Oryzias latipes: one gene and its partners. The main gene of each other region encodes a partner of the protein of the gene in region 3 in a complex. Links are inferred from orthologs where the notes say so. Each region holds a gene or a part of one and is shown on either strand. Other genes may lie near its edges.

The links.
Region 1: ppp4r1 (region 3) and ppp4r3b share a complex: the UniProt entries of both Homo sapiens proteins name them as parts of the PP4 complex. The link is inferred for Oryzias latipes from reciprocal best matches to the Homo sapiens genes PPP4R1 and PPP4R3B.
Region 2: ppp4r1 (region 3) and ppp4r4 share a complex: the UniProt entries of both Homo sapiens proteins name them as parts of the PP4 complex. The link is inferred for Oryzias latipes from reciprocal best matches to the Homo sapiens genes PPP4R1 and PPP4R4.
Region 4: ppp4r1 (region 3) and ppp4c share a complex: the UniProt entries of both Homo sapiens proteins name them as parts of the PP4 complex. The link is inferred for Oryzias latipes from reciprocal best matches to the Homo sapiens genes PPP4R1 and PPP4C.

Annotation. Positions count from the first base shown.
Region 1 is NC_019873.2:15,889,243-15,894,311, reverse strand, and holds the start of ppp4r3b (serine/threonine-protein phosphatase 4 regulatory subunit 3B), read right to left. Parts: upstream 3,388-5,069; 5' UTR 3,088-3,387; coding exon 2,946-3,087; intron 2,426-2,945; coding exon 2,370-2,425; intron 1,756-2,369; coding exon 1,657-1,755; intron 1,263-1,656; coding exon 639-1,262; intron 1-638. Other genes in the region: pnpt1 (polyribonucleotide nucleotidyltransferase 1, mitochondrial), read right to left, coding at 4,060-4,209, 4,290-4,337, 4,541-4,619, 4,694-4,749, 4,880-4,986, 5,063-5,069. UniProt on the Homo sapiens protein: Regulatory subunit of serine/threonine-protein phosphatase 4 (PP4). May regulate the activity of PPP4C at centrosomal microtubule organizing centers.
Region 2 is NC_019882.2:23,174,947-23,179,286, forward strand, and holds part of ppp4r4 (serine/threonine-protein phosphatase 4 regulatory subunit 4), read right to left. Parts: intron 2,578-4,340; coding exon 2,475-2,577; intron 2,400-2,474; coding exon 2,252-2,399; intron 1,263-2,251; coding exon 1,189-1,262; intron 1,046-1,188; coding exon 939-1,045; intron 847-938; coding exon 739-846; intron 645-738; coding exon 523-644; intron 448-522; coding exon 325-447; intron 1-324. UniProt on the Homo sapiens protein: Putative regulatory subunit of serine/threonine-protein phosphatase 4.
Region 3 is NC_019863.2:13,841,058-13,846,191, forward strand, and holds the start of ppp4r1 (serine/threonine-protein phosphatase 4 regulatory subunit 1), read left to right. Parts: upstream 1-1,786; 5' UTR 1,787-1,997; coding exon 1,998-2,004; intron 2,005-3,970; coding exon 3,971-4,015; intron 4,016-4,531; coding exon 4,532-4,661; intron 4,662-5,134. Other genes in the region: rab22a (ras-related protein Rab-22A), read right to left, coding at 1,393-1,428. UniProt on the Homo sapiens protein: Regulatory subunit of serine/threonine-protein phosphatase 4. May play a role in regulation of cell division in renal glomeruli. The PPP4C-PPP4R1 PP4 complex may play a role in dephosphorylation and regulation of HDAC3.
Region 4 is NC_019866.2:25,213,232-25,218,067, forward strand, and holds the start of ppp4c (serine/threonine-protein phosphatase 4 catalytic subunit), read right to left. Parts: upstream 3,002-4,836; 5' UTR 2,657-3,001; intron 2,211-2,656; 5' UTR 2,054-2,210; coding exon 1,944-2,053; intron 450-1,943; coding exon 398-449; intron 322-397; coding exon 271-321; intron 1-270. Other genes in the region: actin-related protein 2/3 complex subunit 1A, read left to right, coding at 3,041-3,074, 4,568-4,642. UniProt on the Homo sapiens protein: Protein phosphatase that is involved in many processes such as microtubule organization at centrosomes, maturation of spliceosomal snRNPs, apoptosis, DNA repair, tumor necrosis factor (TNF)-alpha signaling, activation of c-Jun N-terminal kinase MAPK8, regulation of histone acetylation, DNA damage checkpoint signaling, NF-kappa-B activation and cell migration.

The DNA of each region.
Region 1 (5,069 bases), on a different chromosome or scaffold from region 3:
GATTACACCATGGAAACAATACAAACAGTGAAGAGTGCCGGAAGTTATTTTTAAAATATATATATAAAAGACAACTAAACTATTACTATCAGGTAACATTAAAAAAAAAGTTAAAAACAGAAGAAATCTGAGATATATGATGAAAATCTCAAATGATCATCTTAAACTTTTATGTGAAAATGTATTAAGACATTATTATGGAAACAATAGAGGGGGACACATTATGACAAAGCAGGTTGAAGCTTTGTAGAACAACTCATTCTCTTGGCACATTCTAAACGCTGTCATTTTTTTAAACAAATATCTTGACTTACAGTGAACTTTTCAAGAAAATAATGCAAAACACACTAGCACAAGTATTATCCTGTTCAGTTTCTCTCAATTATCTCCTATTTATGTAGAGAACACATTTTTAAAATCACAATTTCATTTTTTTGCCATAAATTTTTTTGTATTAGAAACTGGAGAGAGTACATTAACGTAGCGAACAACAGAAGATACAGACTGTCCAACAGTCAATGTGCAGAATGTTGATTACATCTTAAAAGAATCCCTTTTAATAGAAAACATTTTAATTTACATTGTTAAATACATTAAACTGAAACTTACACTCACTTTAGCCTGGTTTAGATCCTTACCTGCAACATACTGACAATCTCCACTTTGTTGAAGAAAATGAAGGACGTGAGGGTGGACAGGAAGTTCTCCTCAAACACTGAGGGTGTAGGCAGTATTATGTCCTGGATGTATTGAACTCTGTAGGTCTGGTGGATTTTCTGCCGCAGCTCAGAGTCCGTAATCGGGATCACTTCCTTAAATTTTGCGGTCTTGGTCAAGAACTCCCGATGTCTTTTAGGCTGAACCAATGCTGGGTCATACTCAAGGCAACCTACCACATCCATGATACAGTCATCCGAGAACATCACCTCAAAAAGGGCAGCTTTGTTGAGGAACAAGACTCCCCGCACAACCTCATAGAGGTGATGCAAGCCTTCTCTGTTGTCCAGGTCCTCGCATACTCTGAAGAGACCCAGCAGTTTCTTTATGTAGCCCTCACTCATTAGAGCCAGTGCAAGTTTTTCGCGCCGAATGGGTGAGGAGAGAACAGAGGTAACCAGGTCAGCGATTTCCTCAAGTCGACCTAGTTCACATGGCGGGAGCTCAACCAAGTGGCTTGTCTCTGGAATTTCCTCAAAGTGGTCCTCCTCTGATTCATCGATGGGATCCTGAGTGATGTCCAGAGCAGGGTCTTTGCCTTGTACCTGAGCAAAAATAATAAAATAAAAATCACATATTTAAAAAAAAAAATTTACAGTAAAGAATCATGAACTCCCTTACTTGGGATACTGGTAGTAAAAACTGCAAAACTCGCAGCATTCTTATACATTCTAAACGTATGTGATACTTGCAGGTATGAGCCACAGCTAAAAATAAACTTATTTTTTTTGCTAAAATACAATGTCAAACTTTAACGAGTTAAAAGACCAAAACCCTCAATCCCTTTATTTATAAAAAAATATATATGTTATTTAACATGTTTCAATCGTTATACAGTAACAGTTACAAAGTCCCACCTGACAGGAACGTTTTTCAAACATCAAAGAGAAGGGACACCAAGAAGGAGGGACATGCTGAACTGTCTTTATTTGTAATTACCTGACAGATCCTTTCCCAAATCTCATCACAGCCAGCCTTTTCCTGGAAGCTTAGAGCAAGATCGTAATTATCCGCTTCTGACCAAACAATCAGTGTGTCCTGAAAGAAAAGAATGAAACTTTTTCCTATTACCAAAAATACAAAAATAGCAACAACAACAATTGTCTTCAAACATATTTTACATTAAAACTTTAAATAAAGCTTAATTTAAACCCAGAATGTGTGCCTTAATCATTGTACTCATACAAAAATACAACCAACGACTTTGTTTTTAAATGACTGAACAGGTGTAGAAAAGTAAAAAAAGAAGATACTTCTGTGTACATAGTTGTAGATGTACCTCTTCTAAATGTTTTTAGGGGTAGAAAGATATATTTTTCTTATTGCTGCTCCCTTTCATTTCCCCTGCATAAGATGTCTAGTATTGTTTTAATGTATATGTTTTCTTGTGGTAATGAAATACCACAATTGTGTTATTCCTAAGGTTGAACAATTGTACTGATGATAAATATAACAGTATTTCACATTACAAAGTCTTCAAGTAAAAAAAGCTTAGTATACTAGCATAATTACACATCATCTATTCCCAACTTTCTTACAACAGAATAACCACAGAGGAGGAAAACTTTACTATTATGCAATAGCTTTTCAATTGTAAGACTCAATTAAACCAAGTATAAAACTCCTTAATTGTTGAAATATTAAATACTTACCTGTTGTTTCTGATATGCAGTATTCGGACTTATCTTTGATTCCAACAACAAAGATCCTAATAAAAAACAGAATTGCTTAATTTTCAGAGTGGTATGAAACTATTTACAAACCAATTAACTATTTGCCAACAATAGACGTATGAACCACAATGATGATTAGTTCAAAATAAGATCAGAATAACAGCTAAAATAAATACAGTAGTTTATGAACCAAATTAATACAGCCTGACGTAATAGTAGCAGAAATAGAGCAATATCCATGAATAGATTAAGTTTATTACAACGAGCAAGTGTAAACGTGTGCGCCGCGACTTTGAGGGGGGGCCCATGCTACTACGACCAACCAAACCAACTAGTCGTTGGAAATGAGGACTCTCCGGAAAAAGAAAAACAAACATTTGACTTCATGTTTTCAAAGTAAATATATACCAATTGGTCTAAAACAATTAATTTAGTGACACACAACGCTACACCAACTGCATAAATACATCCACCAAGTCAGAAATGCTATCAAACTAAGAGCTTTGCTATTTAAAATATAGCATGCTAGTTAGCTAATGCTAACAGAGAACTTACCGTCCGATTCGGCTCGAACTAGCAGTGATATTCCCCTCAGTCGTTCCACAAACGTAGATGAAACATGACCTGTACCCCGATCGTCCCACTGCCTGTCTTCATTTAGCGTGTATACCTTTACTCGCCGCCGAGTGTCCGACATGGCTAATCGAATCGGAGCTAGCAGGCTGCTAAGCTATCACCTCACCCCGTTTACTGCTTTCCTCGACCTGTTAACTTTGTTCCCACCTGCATGTTACAAAACATGCCAGTCTAGGTTGACGTTTACAGTAGTAGTCGAATATATCTCGCAAACATATCACGTTTGCGGTTATAAATCCAAATAGACAGTCTGATTTCAAACTGAGAAATTTAAAGAAACAACTCTGATGGCCTTCTTGCTAACGTCCACGGACCGCCATCTTGTAATCCGATCTTGTGCTCTTTTTCATCGCGGATGTCAATCATGCGCTAACTGCCGTGCGTGGGGCGGGGCTTATTCCTTCAGGCAACTGGGAATTCCGCAACTTAATGGCTGGGAAAGGAACTGCAGTACCTCATGCATTTTAAGTAAAAAAAATAATTTAGTTTTCGTCACATAAATATTTGAAACAATTACCAAATAATGCATAAAACAATACATTTCAATATTAGATTATAGAAAAAAAACGTTTTATTTATTTCCAAAATGATTAAGAAATGCCATGTATTTGTGTATTTACATAGACTATAAATAAAAAAAAACAAGTACATATGCTGTGAAGTTCTCCCACTTTGTTTTTGTTTCTATACCAGTATATTAGAGGACAATAGATATGAAATGTAAAAATCCTAAACAATAGCAAGTACTAGACTTTTGCAAACTTGTAATCATACCACCACATAAGGCACAAATATTTGTGGAAGTACAAGAAGCATTGTTGCTGATACATGACATAACAAGGACAAACCTAAAAAAAAACACAAAAAAAACAAAACACAATTCTGTTCTTGTCAGCCAGATGCCTCATTTGTCCAATAGTGCCATGTTTACGACATCTGTTGCATCTTTCTTGGGATTACTACTTCAAAAGTAATATTCCTTTCGAATTGTAGTTGGTGGATTAGTCAGGAAACTCTGCGCTGTGCCATTCTGTCACAAGTCGGATCTTTCGCTGATGTTTGAACCCATGGAAATGCTCTGTTTCTCACTTAGCGTCTTGACGACAGTGGCGGCAGGAGACTGCAACACCTTTCGTGAAAGCCTCATTCTGCCGTCTGTTGGATCTCGTCCAAAATACTTCACCTGTCAGGAGAACACTTGTTAGAAAAAAAGAAACCCCACAGTGGCAATAAAACAGGTCACTTTGAACAGCTGACACAAACCTGTATCTCCTGTCCTACATCCAAACCCAAAGCACTTGGATGCTTGATCTACAAGAGATACATTTTCGTCATTTTATTTGATTGATTATTTTCAATTTACTTGTGCATTGTTTTTATCTTCTTTTTTGTTTACATGATTGTACACCACTTCAGATCAGAACAGATCATTTAAGTGCTCTATAAAAGAAAATTGGATGGTGTGGTTTAACAAAAACAGATTAAAAAAGTCCACCAAAGTGCGTTTTACAAACCCGTTTGTGGTCCAGCTGGGAGTTGTGCAGCAAGACAGGCGTCATGTTTGGATATAGTTTAACCATCACACCAATGTCCCTAAAACAGAGAGGTATGTCCATCAGTGGCTGGATCAGGGCTCGCTTTCAGCCCTCAAAAGTAAATAAGGTTACCTTATTTCTGTGATGGTGGCAGTGTAGACGGCACCAAACTCCAACTGCTGCTCCTGCTGCAAATGGGAAGCAACATTAATGCTCGAGCTTTAGGTACATATAGGCAAGGTTCAGTGATAGTCTGGAATATCAAACTGATAATTAATGAATAAACCAGATGCATTCTGGATTTTGTTGTTGGCTCACATCGTCTTTGCAGATATCGCTAATGAACTCCTGGGCTTCATTCATAGCTCCAGGAGTTGGAGCAAACACAGAGAACGTTTCTTCATCCACCTGACTTATAGTGACACCTTTAGAGGAAACAAAAAGACTAAATTAAACACTTCTGCACATCCAAATGTAATCAGTGCTCGATTACCAGAATACCTGTCTG
Region 2 (4,340 bases), on a different chromosome or scaffold from region 3:
CCGAATCCAGATCCACTTTTCCTTCAAACTAAAATTATGTGTAATATACTACAGACCAAGTAGACCATAGAAGACATTTAGAAAATGTTCTGTTACACTGATGGGTTCTTATAAGACACACTCCAATGAAAATTATATTTTTGGTGTTTGCTCTTGAGCATTTTTCTTATAATGATAGACATATTAAAAAAATTACATTTCTTAATAAAATATTCAACTTTAGTTCATGTGGTGCCTGAACATCCACTTACAGCCTTTGTTATCCATGTAAGGATTCAAGAACACTTCAAGGTGTAACAAACAAACAAGCAGTGCTGGTCTCACCAGCCAATCCATTGCAAAGCTTCCCAAACTGGAAGGACAGGGACACCATAACTGCTTCATCCGCCTGTGCTGCAGCCTCACAAACCATCATCACCATGGGAACCATGACAGGAAGTAGGTCCTCTGAAAAGAAATTAGGAATTTAAATATGTTGTACAGGGATTTGCTCAGCAAGGAGGGCTTTCATTCTGCACTCACTGCCATCTATCATCTCCATCAGGTTGATGATTGTGTCAAAGCTTGCCAGTTGGACACTGTTCTCCTCATCTCCAGCAAGCTCAACAAGCTCTGGCCAAAGTTCTGTCCTGTAATTGTCTTCACTGAAGCATAAACCCAAGGAAAGCTTTTATTAGAGACATGTGGTGTGCATTGGTCACCTGTTGTTCAGTTTCTCTTTTGTTTGGGAGCAGTTACCCAATGGCTCTGGCAATGCTCTCCAAGTGATTGCACATGCAGGCACGGACTTCAGGTTCCACATCCTGAAGCAAAGAACGAGCCAGTGGCAACAACTCCTTCATCACCCTGACAAGCAGACGATGTACCTGTTCAGGTCTTCACAGTACCAGGAAGGTGTGATAAACAAGGAGCATTGTGTTTCAGTTTGTGGAACTCACATGTGACAATTAAACCTAGAGGCAACTTTTCCTAAAATACGGCAAGCAGCCAAACGACCCTGAAGGAAATGAGACATCTGCGTCTGATACATGAGAGAGTTCAACACCTGGAAGGACAGAGACAGGCACAGCTATCAAAGATATTTTACAGATTTATAATGTTGAACATCCACTGAGTTCTTTTCATCAGTTAGCAAAGAGCAGGTGAACACAATCACAAATACAACAGGAAGTTTGAGTTGGAGCTAACCTCCTGTTTGATGGTTTCCTTGGGAAGAACATTTATGGCTGACAGCAGAGTCTCCAACCAGGCGCTGCTCACCACTGTGACAGAAACAACAATGTCAGCCAAACACAAGGCAAAATCAGCATTGGCCTCATTTCAACATCTCAGCTCTGAGCATCCTAATTCAGTGGTTGTAATAAAACGTAAACATTACAAAGACAATCTGAGTTTCTGCAACTCATCTAGACCCACTAGACAGTGCTCTGAACCTTTTTTCTTCAATGATTTGTGATCTTCACTGGTGTCCATGGATTACATGAAATCTTTCCACCTTTATCCACCTTTGTCATGTTAGGGAGAACACGTCAATGCAAGGGGGGGGTCATCTAAGAAAGCACAAGGGTTAAGGAATCTAATGTGTGTTGTGTCTGTACTCTATGTATGGGGAAAATACCTTTATTTTTAGTTATGAGTAATTACTCTGTCAAAAGATGGCATCTTCTTTCTCCTTTGTTTGTTATATTCATTCATTCATTCATTTTCTCCCGTTTTATCCCTTTCGGGGTCACGGGGCTGCCGGAGCCTATTAATTACCTGTCCTGATTGGTTAATTACGGCTACCTGTGGGCGAAGGCAGGGTACATCCTGGACAGGTCCCCAGTCTGTTGCAGGGCCTCAATCACAATCACTCTCACACTCACACCTATGGACAATTTAGAGTGACCAATTAACCTATGAAGCATGTTTTTGGACAGTGGGAGGAAGACGGAGATCCCAGAGAGAACCCACGCAGAGAGAACATGCAAACTCCACACAGAAAGGGCCCCCCATTGATGTTCTGGTTCAGGTCCCCCAGCTGGGACTTGAACCAGGGGCTGTGAGGCAAGAGCGCTAACCACTGCGTCACCGTGCAGCCCTTTTTTTTTTATTATATTTGCTTTTTAATTAATGTATTACCTAATATGTAAAATAGCTTTGATAACTCTGAATTTTATACTTTTTAAAATTGTATTATTTAAATACTTGTATAAATCATTCAAATCCAAATCAAATCCAAGCTGTGTCTCTGTGGTTCAGGTGAGTTTACCTGTGTCTCTGTGGTTCAGTTGCTGCAGGACAGTCTTTAGAATGGAATAGGTGTGAGTGTGGATCAGAATTATGTCATCCTGCAAGATGGTTAAAAACGAAGCTGCTGCTGCCAGCTGGATCTCAACACCTGCACCATTTAGGACCTCCTGGAGAACAGAAGCATATCAGGTGAAACCCCGTCACCTCTTGAAATCTGAAGCAGCTTTATGGTGTTTACATACCCGAACCTTTGGTACAACCCGGCGGAATGTCTCAGCAGGGTTCTGGCGAACTAGACTGGGTAAGTTACTGATGACGCAGGCCCTCTGCATCTCCTGACCCTGGCTAAAGACATGAGAGTTAATTAGAGCTAGAATATCTGAACTAAAACCAGTTCAGACTCTAAAAACTTTAACCAATCTATGTTCTTCTGGTTCCCTTTTTAGCTGCAGGCCTCAGGTCTGTTGAAGAATCATTTCAGTGAACTAGTTTGGATCTTCCAGGACCAGACTGAGGATTAGCACAACTGATAAATTGGCTGCAGAACTTACTGAGCCCTGACACAAGAGAATAGAAAAGACCCCAGACCTAAATATCATGCTATATCACAGTTTTGCTTATGTGCAGTAAAGCATGAACAGTCATTATTTCTCGTTTTTCAGGTCAATTCTGTTTATTTACAGAGAACCGATTCACAACCAAGGGTGTCTCAAAGAGCTGCACATAAGCCATGAGAAATCAATATAAACATGTCCAGATTCATTACAGATGTTACAATCCAGTTTAGTCCAACCATTACAATGCAATTAGATAGACTTAATTAAATACTATAGCAGTTGATGTCTTAGTAGTTATTTATTTTGACAGCAGAGGGCGCTCTGCCGCAGTGCTACCTAAAACGTTTTTAATTATTTTTCTTTAATTTGTAGATTTAAATATTTGTATTTTCTACATTTTATATCACACCTATGAAGCTTTAGGAGCAGTAAGATTTAATTTTGAAGAGTTTTTAATGTTTAGTTTACCTGAGTTCAGTTACAGGTTGTAATAGGCACTTCCTGTTTCCTATAAGAGCAGCACATGCAAAGTCAGCACGACAGACGGCAATAAGAGAACAATTAAGAAGAATTTTTGTGTTTTAGTTCACCGGTTGGTTCATTAGCAGGCCAAAGTGTTCTACGGATGTTGATGCGGTGTAAAGTTTAAAGAAAGGAACACCACATTAAACAGCAGTACAAGGAACTCGAACGCCTCTCGTCTGTGTGAAAAAATGACCAAGCCGGCACAGTAGAACACTTTACTGCCCCGGAGAAGGCAAAGCACTGTCGGGACTGAAGCAAGCTGCAAGCAAGAAGCTGCAAATACAAGGGAAGGATCACATGCTTAAACGAAGCACTGCAAAATCTAAGGTAAAGTGATCAAGTGAGAGTTAGACAAACAAGAACCAAAGTGCATTTTTTGGAGCAGCACAAAACTAGACAGCTGCATGTGAAAGCTAAAGATAGAGAGCTGAGGCATCAAAAAGTGAATGCATATCAAGCTTAAGACAACTACAAGCTACAATTTACACTCAAAATGGCAGATGAGGAGAAGGATACAGAAGGGCGCACTAAGGAAGACGGTGCAGAATGTAAAACACAAGATGATGATAATGAGCAGTCAGATGGAGAAGAAACTCTGCAAACATCAGTATCAGCTGAAAGTAAACAAACAGCAGTTCGCAAAAGTCAGCGCAAACGCACACTAACTGAAAAGGGAAAATCTCTGCAAGAAGCTCACCTGACTGATTTAACAAAAGAATTTGAGTGTCTATACAAAAAGTGGAAGTATCACATAAACTGTTTCAGGAGATTTATGAGAGGTAAAGACATAGAAATAATCGCTGAAGCTGTGGACACAATAGACACGTTTCAGAAAGAAATCTGCAATATCTATGATTCAATAAGACAAATTAGAAGTCCAGACATTGAAATAAGAAGAAAATGTGACATGTGCCATACGATCAGTCACACAGCCAAAGCTAAAGCACAGTGTTTACTCGAACAAGATGGCAATCCAGAAGATATTCCTTGGCCAGATTCTGAATCAGTGTTTCACAGTAGTTCAAG
Region 3 (5,134 bases):
ATGTGGACATGTCTCCAAAATATTGTTTCCCCACTTCAGTACAAAGCCAGGTCTCTACATTCCATCAATTTATCACTCTTTTTATCATGGTGTGTGTATGTATGTGTGTGTGTGTGTGTATGGGGGGGGGGGGGGGGGGGTTGTCGGCATTGTTTGTCGTGTCATTTTGTTTTTCAATTTGATTGTATTTTATGCAAAGCACTGAGTGACATGTGTTGTAAAAGTGCTACATAAATAAAGGTTGATTTGATTATTAAAATAAACGAAATAAATGGATTAAATTGATACTGGAAATGATCATTGGGATTAAGGCACATTAGGTTTATTTTACTATGACCAGGTATCATCACAGCAGACGACACGCATGTGATGGCAGCAAAAAATGATCAAGACATCGATCCAGTCCAATGTGTGGAAATAAATTGGAGTTTTGCAAAGACATGTGACCATAGAGTGTGATAGAATGTTCTAATAATGTTCAGTTTGTATTATTTTAATGTAGAAAAACAATAGTGGGCTGAACTTTATGAAAACTAAATGTGAATGGATTTGCCATTAATTCTTGTTTGGACACATGTTTAATTTATACTTGATTATGTTGCAAGAAACAAGGAATCTGGAAAACTTCACCTGTTCAGTGCCCAGGTATATATCTTATCACTGGTTGAATTTTTGGCTAAATATGTCCTGGATCGATTTTAGGTCAGTAGGGTTGTTCTAAATGAACACATATTAAATATGAATCGTATCGTTGATAAATGAATCTTTACACACTTAATCAAAACATGTCTATGAAGACTCTCATTCATCCATTTGGATAAGAAGTGAAACGTCTTCTAACTTTAAAAACCAAGTCCAGATGACAGCCCCTAAACCGACGACTTTACTTACTGATCAAAGCACAACCTGTTCAGTAAAATTTCAAAATAAGAGAGCAAAAATCCCTGACAACAAAACTGTCTGGGACAGTTGTAGGTCTTTGTACTTTTATTCAACGCGTACAATATGTTGCAATTATTCGATGAAAACCACTGACTCGTGTAAACTTCCAACTTTAGGCAACAAATAAAAACAAAAAAACATATTTAGGTCATGAAAATTCAGAAATCAACGTTAAAATAAAAAACCGGAACTTTGCCGAAGTTTTGAAAATGACATCCTTTAAACAAATTATGAATAACTCCCCATAAGAAGATGATGCTCTAAAAGTGTCGGTTTAAGTTGAGCAAGACAAAGGCCGATAAATCTATACAAACATTACAAGAATTAAGAGGTCGATTTACACAACGAGGAACTTAAGGCGTTCCCCTTTTGATTAACCGAGGCTCGTTTTAACACAATATGCAATAATCATTTTTGTTTATGTTTATCTAAAAATCAATAGCTACTTACCCCTAAGAGACACACTTTTAACTCTCTCAACGCCATATCAGTCTCCTCTTTCAGAGTGACTTTAGATGAAGATCATGGACAGTTTCTCTTCTGCTTGCTTGTTTATATCTTGAATTTTCTTGAGTGGGAATGATTACGAACAGTCTCGTTTCATGGTTGTCAATAGATGGATAATATACATCTCTGGGTTGTTATTAAAAGTATCTCAAAGGTCCTACAGCCCGTCATACAGGCATAATGTCGTTTACTGTAAGCATCCAGCTAGCTAACACAGCGAACCCTCCAAATTGCTCGGTCTCCATCTTGAACCTCGGCGTGTGGTCACGTGATTACATTGGCTCTTCTTTTTGTGTGTTTGTGTGTGTGTGAAGGTACACAAAGAGCCTCACACTCCGTGACGCGTCCACGCTCAGTTATGTCGAGTTTGTGTTTGAACTGCAAAAAGGTTACGTAAGTATTCGCTCCAAAGATATGCAGCCCGTATATACCAGCATATATGCAGTGTCTAGCACCAGGAAATACTTTCAGGAAGTAGTTCGCCGCCGTGTTTGAGTGACAGCTGTGGGGTAGTGACAGCAGCCCGCAGAGCCGAGCCAATACTCAAGATGGCAGGTAATACACTTTTTAAAACCTCCAATTAATATTATTTTTCACTTTCACATTTTTCAAGTTTCAAATCTGTTTCAGGAAAGTGTAGAAATTACATAAAGACGTTCATGTTAGCTGTTTTTGGTACCCGTGTTGCTAAATCGTGCTAAAGCCGCGTTAGCACTATTGGCAACCCTAGCTAACTAGCTAACGACAGCTACTGAGCGGTGTCGAATTAAGTCCCATTCCGGTCGTTTTTTAAACAAATATCGTCACTTTCCGTTTAGTTTGGCTTGTAAAGAACAACTTTCAACTCTTAAAAGCTTGTTGTCCGTCCTTGCTTACGTATTTTCGACCTGTTGACAGAGCAAACGTTAGCTTGATAGCTACATACAGTTAGCCAGTAGCTGACCAAATCCTTCTTTACACTATAACAAAGCGGCTTTGCTGTTCTTCACCCCACTGCTCAAAAGATGCTTTGAAGCCTGTCTCGATGTTTTCTTCAGTCACGAAACACGTTTTTTGGATGTAATTTTGTTAAAAGAAAGTGCTTCAAATTTGTAGCACATTCCTTTGCTTGCAATGTCTAACTGTAAACACATGATCCACTTCCTTCACTTGGTTTGCTTTGCTTTCTCTGTTTTAGCACACGTTTTGTGGTCTTCCTTGACTTAAAAGTTGTTTTTTGATGACGCTTGGGCTTTTTTGTTTTTATTAATTAACTTAATACTATGCTAATAATGATGTTAAGGAATTTTATTAATAAAATAAATCACGAAATATATAAATAGACTTTCTAAAAGGTCTAGATTCATAGATTCTGTCATCACAGATGGGCTATGGGATGAGGATCATAAACCTTGTGTTGTTATATTTGGTTTTTGAATTTAAATTTGATCAGTTTTTGGTCTTCTTTATATACTTTCATTTCCTTTGGTTAGTTATTTCTGTTACTGTTAGAATAATGTAATGCCAAATATGAAAATGTAATTGAATTTGGACCAACTCTGAACATGTTGATTCCTAAATCAAAATGTTTTAACAAAAATAAAAGGATATAGCTGTATAATATTGCACGGTGCTTCTACAGATGAAGTGTTTATTTCCTCTGTTGGACTCAGAAAAGACACATCTGGACTGTATTTGACTGAAAAAGCAAACTATAAAAGACACTGCAATATAGTATCTTATTTTTACCATTAGCACTCTTTATTCTTCAATCAAATGACACATTTTTTTAAATAATCAAAATGTGTCTAATATGACCAAATGTACTAGATCCAAAGCAGAACATCAGGTGTACAGCTAACAATAACAATAAGCATACAAGGCATCTTTCCAATGCCAAATACGTACTTTTTTGTGTTAAACTTTTGTTTTAAAACTAAAATCAAAACTAAAAAGTCATTTCAGATTGTGTTCATTTAGAAAATACTAACACAGCCTCATCCATTTTTATAGCCTCTGTTATTCATTATGGGGGCTGTGATTTAACCTGATCAGCGATTTGTGTACACTAAACTTCATTAAGAGGCTGCAGACTGAAGCATGTTGTGTTTTTATGTGCTGAGTCACATCATGTTTTGTTTAGCATAATAGGGTAGGTGGAAAAATGGCAATACTTCCTAATAAATGTAGAATTTTCTTTGGACCAACAGTGTAAAAAACCAGGTAAAACTAAAAATGTAAAGACATAAAAAAAAAAATTGTGTTTGCTTCTTGTTTTCTACAAAGTCCATCCTCCCTTTAATGTTACATCTTCCTAAATGTGGGGAAATTGTTTATTACAAAAGGTTAGCGTTATGCATTTTCTCTTGGAAAGTTTTTATTCGGCCAAACTTTGTGTTACTGAAATGAAACTTTCTGGTCAGAACCGCAGAAAATCTTCCCCATCATGATTCCTTTACAGTACATGGTGGGAGAAGTGGTGATGGTGTGGTGAGGGTGTTAGTTACTAGAAAAGCCTCTTCTTTTCTGCTTGTCTTTGCAGGTCTATCTTTATACTTTGAAGATAGTCATGATGATATGGATGACTGTAAGTATGCTGGTAAAACTTTACTAAACGTAAAAAAAAATGTTTAAAATATGTTATTTTTGTCATAAATGAATTTGTGATTTATTTATTTATTCCTTCAGGGAGCTTTTCACAAATTATATATATATATATATATATATATATATATATATATATATATATATATATATATATATATATATATATATATATATATATATATATATATATATATACACACACACACACACACTCATCATAATTAGCTTTTTTATTGCTGTTATAAAAGACTAGACAATACTTTTACTTTAACTAGCAACTGCAAATTTAAAAGCTGCGTAATCGTAAAAGGAAACTTACAAATATTATTAAATAGAGCTTTGCGTGTGCACTCATTTTTATTTTTTATAATTCGGTCCTTTGAAAGTACTGATATGTTGGCCAAGTGTTTCTTGACAAAATCCCATTACAAAATACTGGCATGGATTTGTTTACAACGTCCATCCCTGTAAACAACCCTCTGTGTTGTTCCCACAGTTGGATTTGATGACTACGGGTCAGACTGTGACGGCATTCGCATCACGGCTTTTCTTGATGCAGGACAGGACAACCTCACACCTCTTGGGAGGCTAGAGAAATATGCTTTCAGCGAAAATGTCTTCAACAGGTAATTACAGTCCCTGCTTTCAGCCCCTTCAAATCTGCATTCAAAGAGCTCATATTTGGATTTCAGACCCCCGTGACTAGAAGGCTGATTGCTCACATTTGCATTTCTGCTGCTTCTGTAGTCAATGGCTGGTTTGTAATAGAGGAATTGATTGACATCCTCTGAACTGTTGATGATGGATTCCACAGTACCAATGTGTTTTGAGAAAGATAAATGACATAAATGTACATTTGACCAAAGCTAACATTTTTTTCTTCCTTATGTAAATGATAAATGAAACCATAGATAGATAAAAACTTGACATTAATTTTCTACCTGCTGTGTTGCTGACATGTCCTGTTGGTGATTCATGTTGAAAGAATCGTGTCACACCTTGGAAGTCTTGGCAACAAAGAAGTTGTTGCTCAGCAACAATTACCGGTAGCCGAAAGATCTTTTTGCTTTGATTTAGCAACAATTACGGAAGTTTATTT
Region 4 (4,836 bases), on a different chromosome or scaffold from region 3:
CGCTGCTGTTCTCACATCCGTGCTTTGGACGGACCGGCGGGCGGCTTTTACTCCCAACACGGAAGAGAGCAGAGAGCTGGGGGGAAACGTCTCCATTTTCTCAAAAATAAACAGTCTAAAACATCAAATTGGACATAACTGATTAATGGTCCAGCCCTACGTCACAGCCCATAAAGAAGAAGTGTCCAACCATCAAAACCAAACAGCAGTGCAGGAAAATAAACCACGATTTTGTCTGGAGCTTGGATTAAAACAAACATAAAAGCTTACTCTGAAGAGTTCTTTCAGGTCATAGAACTGACCGTGTATATCACCACAAACCTACAAAAAATAAGAGAACAGAAGGTCAAACGAACAATCAACGACTTTGGATTTAAAAGCAGCAAATGGAACTTACAGTGACTGGAGAGTCTACTCTCTGAACGTTACTCTCTTCAACCAGGATTTCTCTGAAAGAAAGTCATGAACACGTATGACAATGAGGTTCTAAACATGTTCTGTTTAAAAAAAGTGACAGTGTTCTGAAATCTGTCAATTACAAAAGAAGTTTTTTTCATCATTTCAAGAAATAACTCTGGGAATATTGAAAAATACAGTATTGAACAATCCTTCATTCTCTAGTTTCCAGTAACTCTTCACCTTCTACAGGAAAAGCACTTTTCAGGTGACAATAGCACCGATATAGCACTGCCTAGTGCGTCCATCACGATCGACTAGTCAACCCTGATCAATGCGAATTGATCATGGGCCATCAAAAAGAAACTTTGATTGTTTTTATTGCCGTCTGCCAATCATCATCCTTGTCATGAAGTAAATCACTTGATAAGAATGCAGAACAGCCAAACAAACATCCTGTGATGAAAAGGTCATTGCACATCCGTGTTCAACTATACGAGCAGCAGGTCGACCGGCACACTGTCCGCCGGGTCCCCGGGACAGCGTCTCTCCAGCCTGCAGAACCGTGTATGGAAGCACAAGTCGGCCAGCGCCTCCCTGATCGGAAACGAGACCGTGAAGCCCCGTCTGACCCAGCCGTCCTGCCACGGCACCGGCTGCCGGGTCTGCGGTTTCTGCCTGAATGATTGAGGCCCGCTCGGGCAGAAGCCTGTGCCTCTCGAGCTCTGTCCATGAATCAGGGGCCCGGCCCGGTGTGCGCCCTGTCCCCGCCGCTGCTCCACCGCCAGGCTTGTCACCTGGTATAAAACCTGAGTGGGCCAAGGGGGGGCGGACCTACTGTAGCCGGGCATGCTCTCACTTCAACGACAACCAAGTAGATCCTGGAAGAAGTATTAGCTTATCCCAAGAATGAAGCCCAAAACAGAACAAAAAAAAAAAAGGGGGGGGGGGGGGCTGATCTGGAGTTTTTCTTCCTCCTAAACTTGAGAAAGAGGAGCATTCAGCGTCAGACTCCTAGCAATAGAAATGTTTCTGCTGTGCGATGCTCTGCTGTTAACATAACAACAAAACACACACAGGTCCAAATCAACAAGCTGCTGAAGGAACTTTTTATCATATCTTATATGTGAATCTAAATGTATCAACTGAATTCTAAATAATTTTCTGAGTCACTTTAAAGTCTTTTCATATTAAGTCTGTGTATGTAAGGATATATTTAAAAAGACACGTGTTGCGGTGCATTCTGGGAGCTTATACTTTGATTACGATTTGGAACAACTTACAGTAAACTTATGCAGACATCTGTGAACCAGCGAATCATGGTAATGAGCGGCCACTGGCTACAGCCTTTGGTACAGAATTTAACAGTACTTGGAAGAAATATTATTATTTGCTTAATAGGCCTATAGAGACATTTCAGTTATGTTGTGTTCAGAATGGAAAGCTCCATCATGGGCCTAAGGAAACTGCGGCTTGTGGTTTTTAGTGGCTGGCGTGATGCAGAAAAAGTGTGGCCCCCCAGCAGTGGAGGGGAACACAGCTCCCACCTGGCTTTGGCGCACAGCGCTTTGACTTCGTTCTCCTTGATCAGCTCACATCTTCGCAGCTGCTCTATCTGCCGGTCCAGGTCACTGATGTCTCCCATTGTCACGCACATAGAGACCTCCTCGCGCTGGTTCTCACGCGCTTCTTCCAGCTGAAATTCCCTGCAGGTCACGTTCCTGTCTCGGCTGTTGCCACAGTGACGTCTCTCTGTCTGTCCGGGCGGAAGGGCTCTAGTCTCGGAAAGACCGATCTCCGTGGTGGCGTTGAGTCTGAGAAGAGACCCGGTTCCAGTTTACGTACAGACATAAAAACAGAGAAAGGCAGAAAATGTCACCGTGAAGTTAGGCAGAGGTTCGGGCTTAGCGGCGCCGAACATACGTAATGCAGCAGAATGCGAGGCCTTGGGGCGTAGCTTGAGCTAAGCCTTAGCATGCTAGCTTACATCACTGATCGACGATCACGTAGATAACAAACCAACAACTTTATTGTTTTTTCTCCCACACTCAACGACAGCGGCATCGATTCAGACCAGGGACTGAACGTATATAGTAACGGGTTACAACAGACAACCTTAAAGTGGACAAAACGGGACCTGAGCGGCTTTACCCAGAGAATGGTTAGCATACAGCCAGTAAGCTAGCACAGTTAGCACAAATGTCCGCCAAACGACGACACGGAGCCAAACCGAACGACAAAACCGCCTCCGCGCGATTACCTTATTGACCGGTGTGTTGGGACGAACGCCGATGCGTCATTGGATGGCTCTGCGGGTGTGAGGCCGCTGCTTCACCGGCTCTTTCCCCGGTATCGTCCGTGCCGGTCGGCTTCTGCTGCTCTCATCAACAACGACGACGGGAAGTTCCGGTGAAGGGCGCGCGCGCCGCGCACGGACCAGACGGAGCGTTACAGAACAACCACCTGCTGATCCGGTCTGGCTGTTCAAACCCCCCCGAAGTGTCCGTTAAAAATAAATAAATAAATAATAATAATAATAATAATCATTGATTAGATCTAGAGGCTGCGTCACACACGGGCACGGAAACGGCATTTTCCCCAAACGGCTTCATGTTCGAGCGCCGGCGGCCTCACGTTAAGGCCTATGGGACACGGAAGGTTTTTATTCATTCATCCAGGTTTCAGTCATAAGTGCATTTAACACAAGTAACACTTTTATTTACTGTTTATTTGAAAAGGCATTTTGTAATCTAGAATTCCGTGTGAAAAATTGAAATTTAAAATCATAGTTTTAGAACAAAATGTTAAATAAAAATAAAAACAATCCCATAAATCAAAGGACAAATTAGAATTAGATATGCAAAATGAATTTTCAATTTACAACATTAAAAGTGACATTTGAACTCATTGTTTGCTTTGAACTTATTTCTCTCTTAACCTGACAACACCAGAAGTTTTAACCTTTTCATTGTTATATTGTTCACGTTGACTGTATTTTATTTCTACTTTATTGTTTTAACTTAATGTTAAAACATTGTCATTGCATCATTTTTCATGGTGTTTTTTCAAAGTGAAAAAAAGCAACCCCCCCCCCCCCAACCAGTGTCAACCATTTGCATTTATGGGGTGTTGCTTCAATATGCTAAGTTCCACCTCCACCATTGACCGTATGAAAGAACTGGACTGAGTGGCCCCTCCCCCTGGCGTTCCAAACAGGAAGTTGATCCAAGAAGCCAGAGTCCCATAGGCATAGTTTCTAAAATGTAAAGCTGTTTTTCAAATATATTTGTTGTGCTTTCTTAATTGTGCTGATGGTTAAAATCATTCAGTGTTTGTCACGGAGGGGGCTGAGGGAGAACCCAGACGCAGAGAGGAGAAGGCAGGAGGTTCCGGGTGAAAAGGAGCTTTAATAAACCAAAGACCACTGCTGAGCAGGCAAGACAAACCAAAAACTAGAAAAACAGCAAAACTATGGAGCAACACAGGAGGAGGAGAAAGACAGGACTTAAATAGACACAAACAAGACACAGGTGGAAACAATCAGGACAGATGGGGACCAAAGGTAAAACCCGAAAAACACGATACAAAACAGGAAACCTATCAAAATAAAACAGGAATCAGAACTAAAATAGAACCAAATACAAAAGCCAGGAAACTCAAACAAACCATGACAGAGTCGGGTACTTTGTAGATGTGACAGAAAAGAAAACCTGAGACTCAAAAAAGAATTCTACCTGAAGTCAAGGCAAAGTCAATGCAGGACTAAACCGTCTTACATTGAAAACAAAAACAGAAATGCAATTGTTTGGGTCTACGAATGCTAACAGGAAACCTGGAGCAGACATTTAAGGTGGAATTATTTTAACGGCACAACTGAACACCAGCAGAACCTTTGAGTGGTATTTATTACCTGTCATTACTGCATATTTTGGTACATCTTCCACTGAATTACAGCAGTTTCTAAACATATCAGAGTAAAATACTAAAAACGAATCCTTAGTGATGACGACACTGTCTGGTTAAAGGTAAGGAAGGCATCACTTATGGTTTGTTTAGACCTGGTCACTGTTAATAAAAGGCGGGCGGGCAGGTCTGTTTTCAACAAACCTGCTCTGGATCTGGTCCTCCTGCTGCTGCAGACACGCCCTCCTCCTTCCACTCCCTCCTGCAGGATCTCCCACTTCGCTCGCAGTCACGGGGAGACCAGCATTCGTGTCGACTGCCCAGAGTCCACGAACACACACAGGTAAGAACCACAGGTAATGACTCTGCTTTTCCAGCTGGTATGGGTTTCAAAGTGTCCGTCTCACTGGAACTGTCTTCACTCATGGCTGTTTCTGCATGTTACACTTTGAAAAGGTCAGAAAATCCGACTAAACAAAAGCAAAGCTGGGACTTCACTTCCATCTATCAAACAGAGGCAGACGTAGAGTTGAAGTA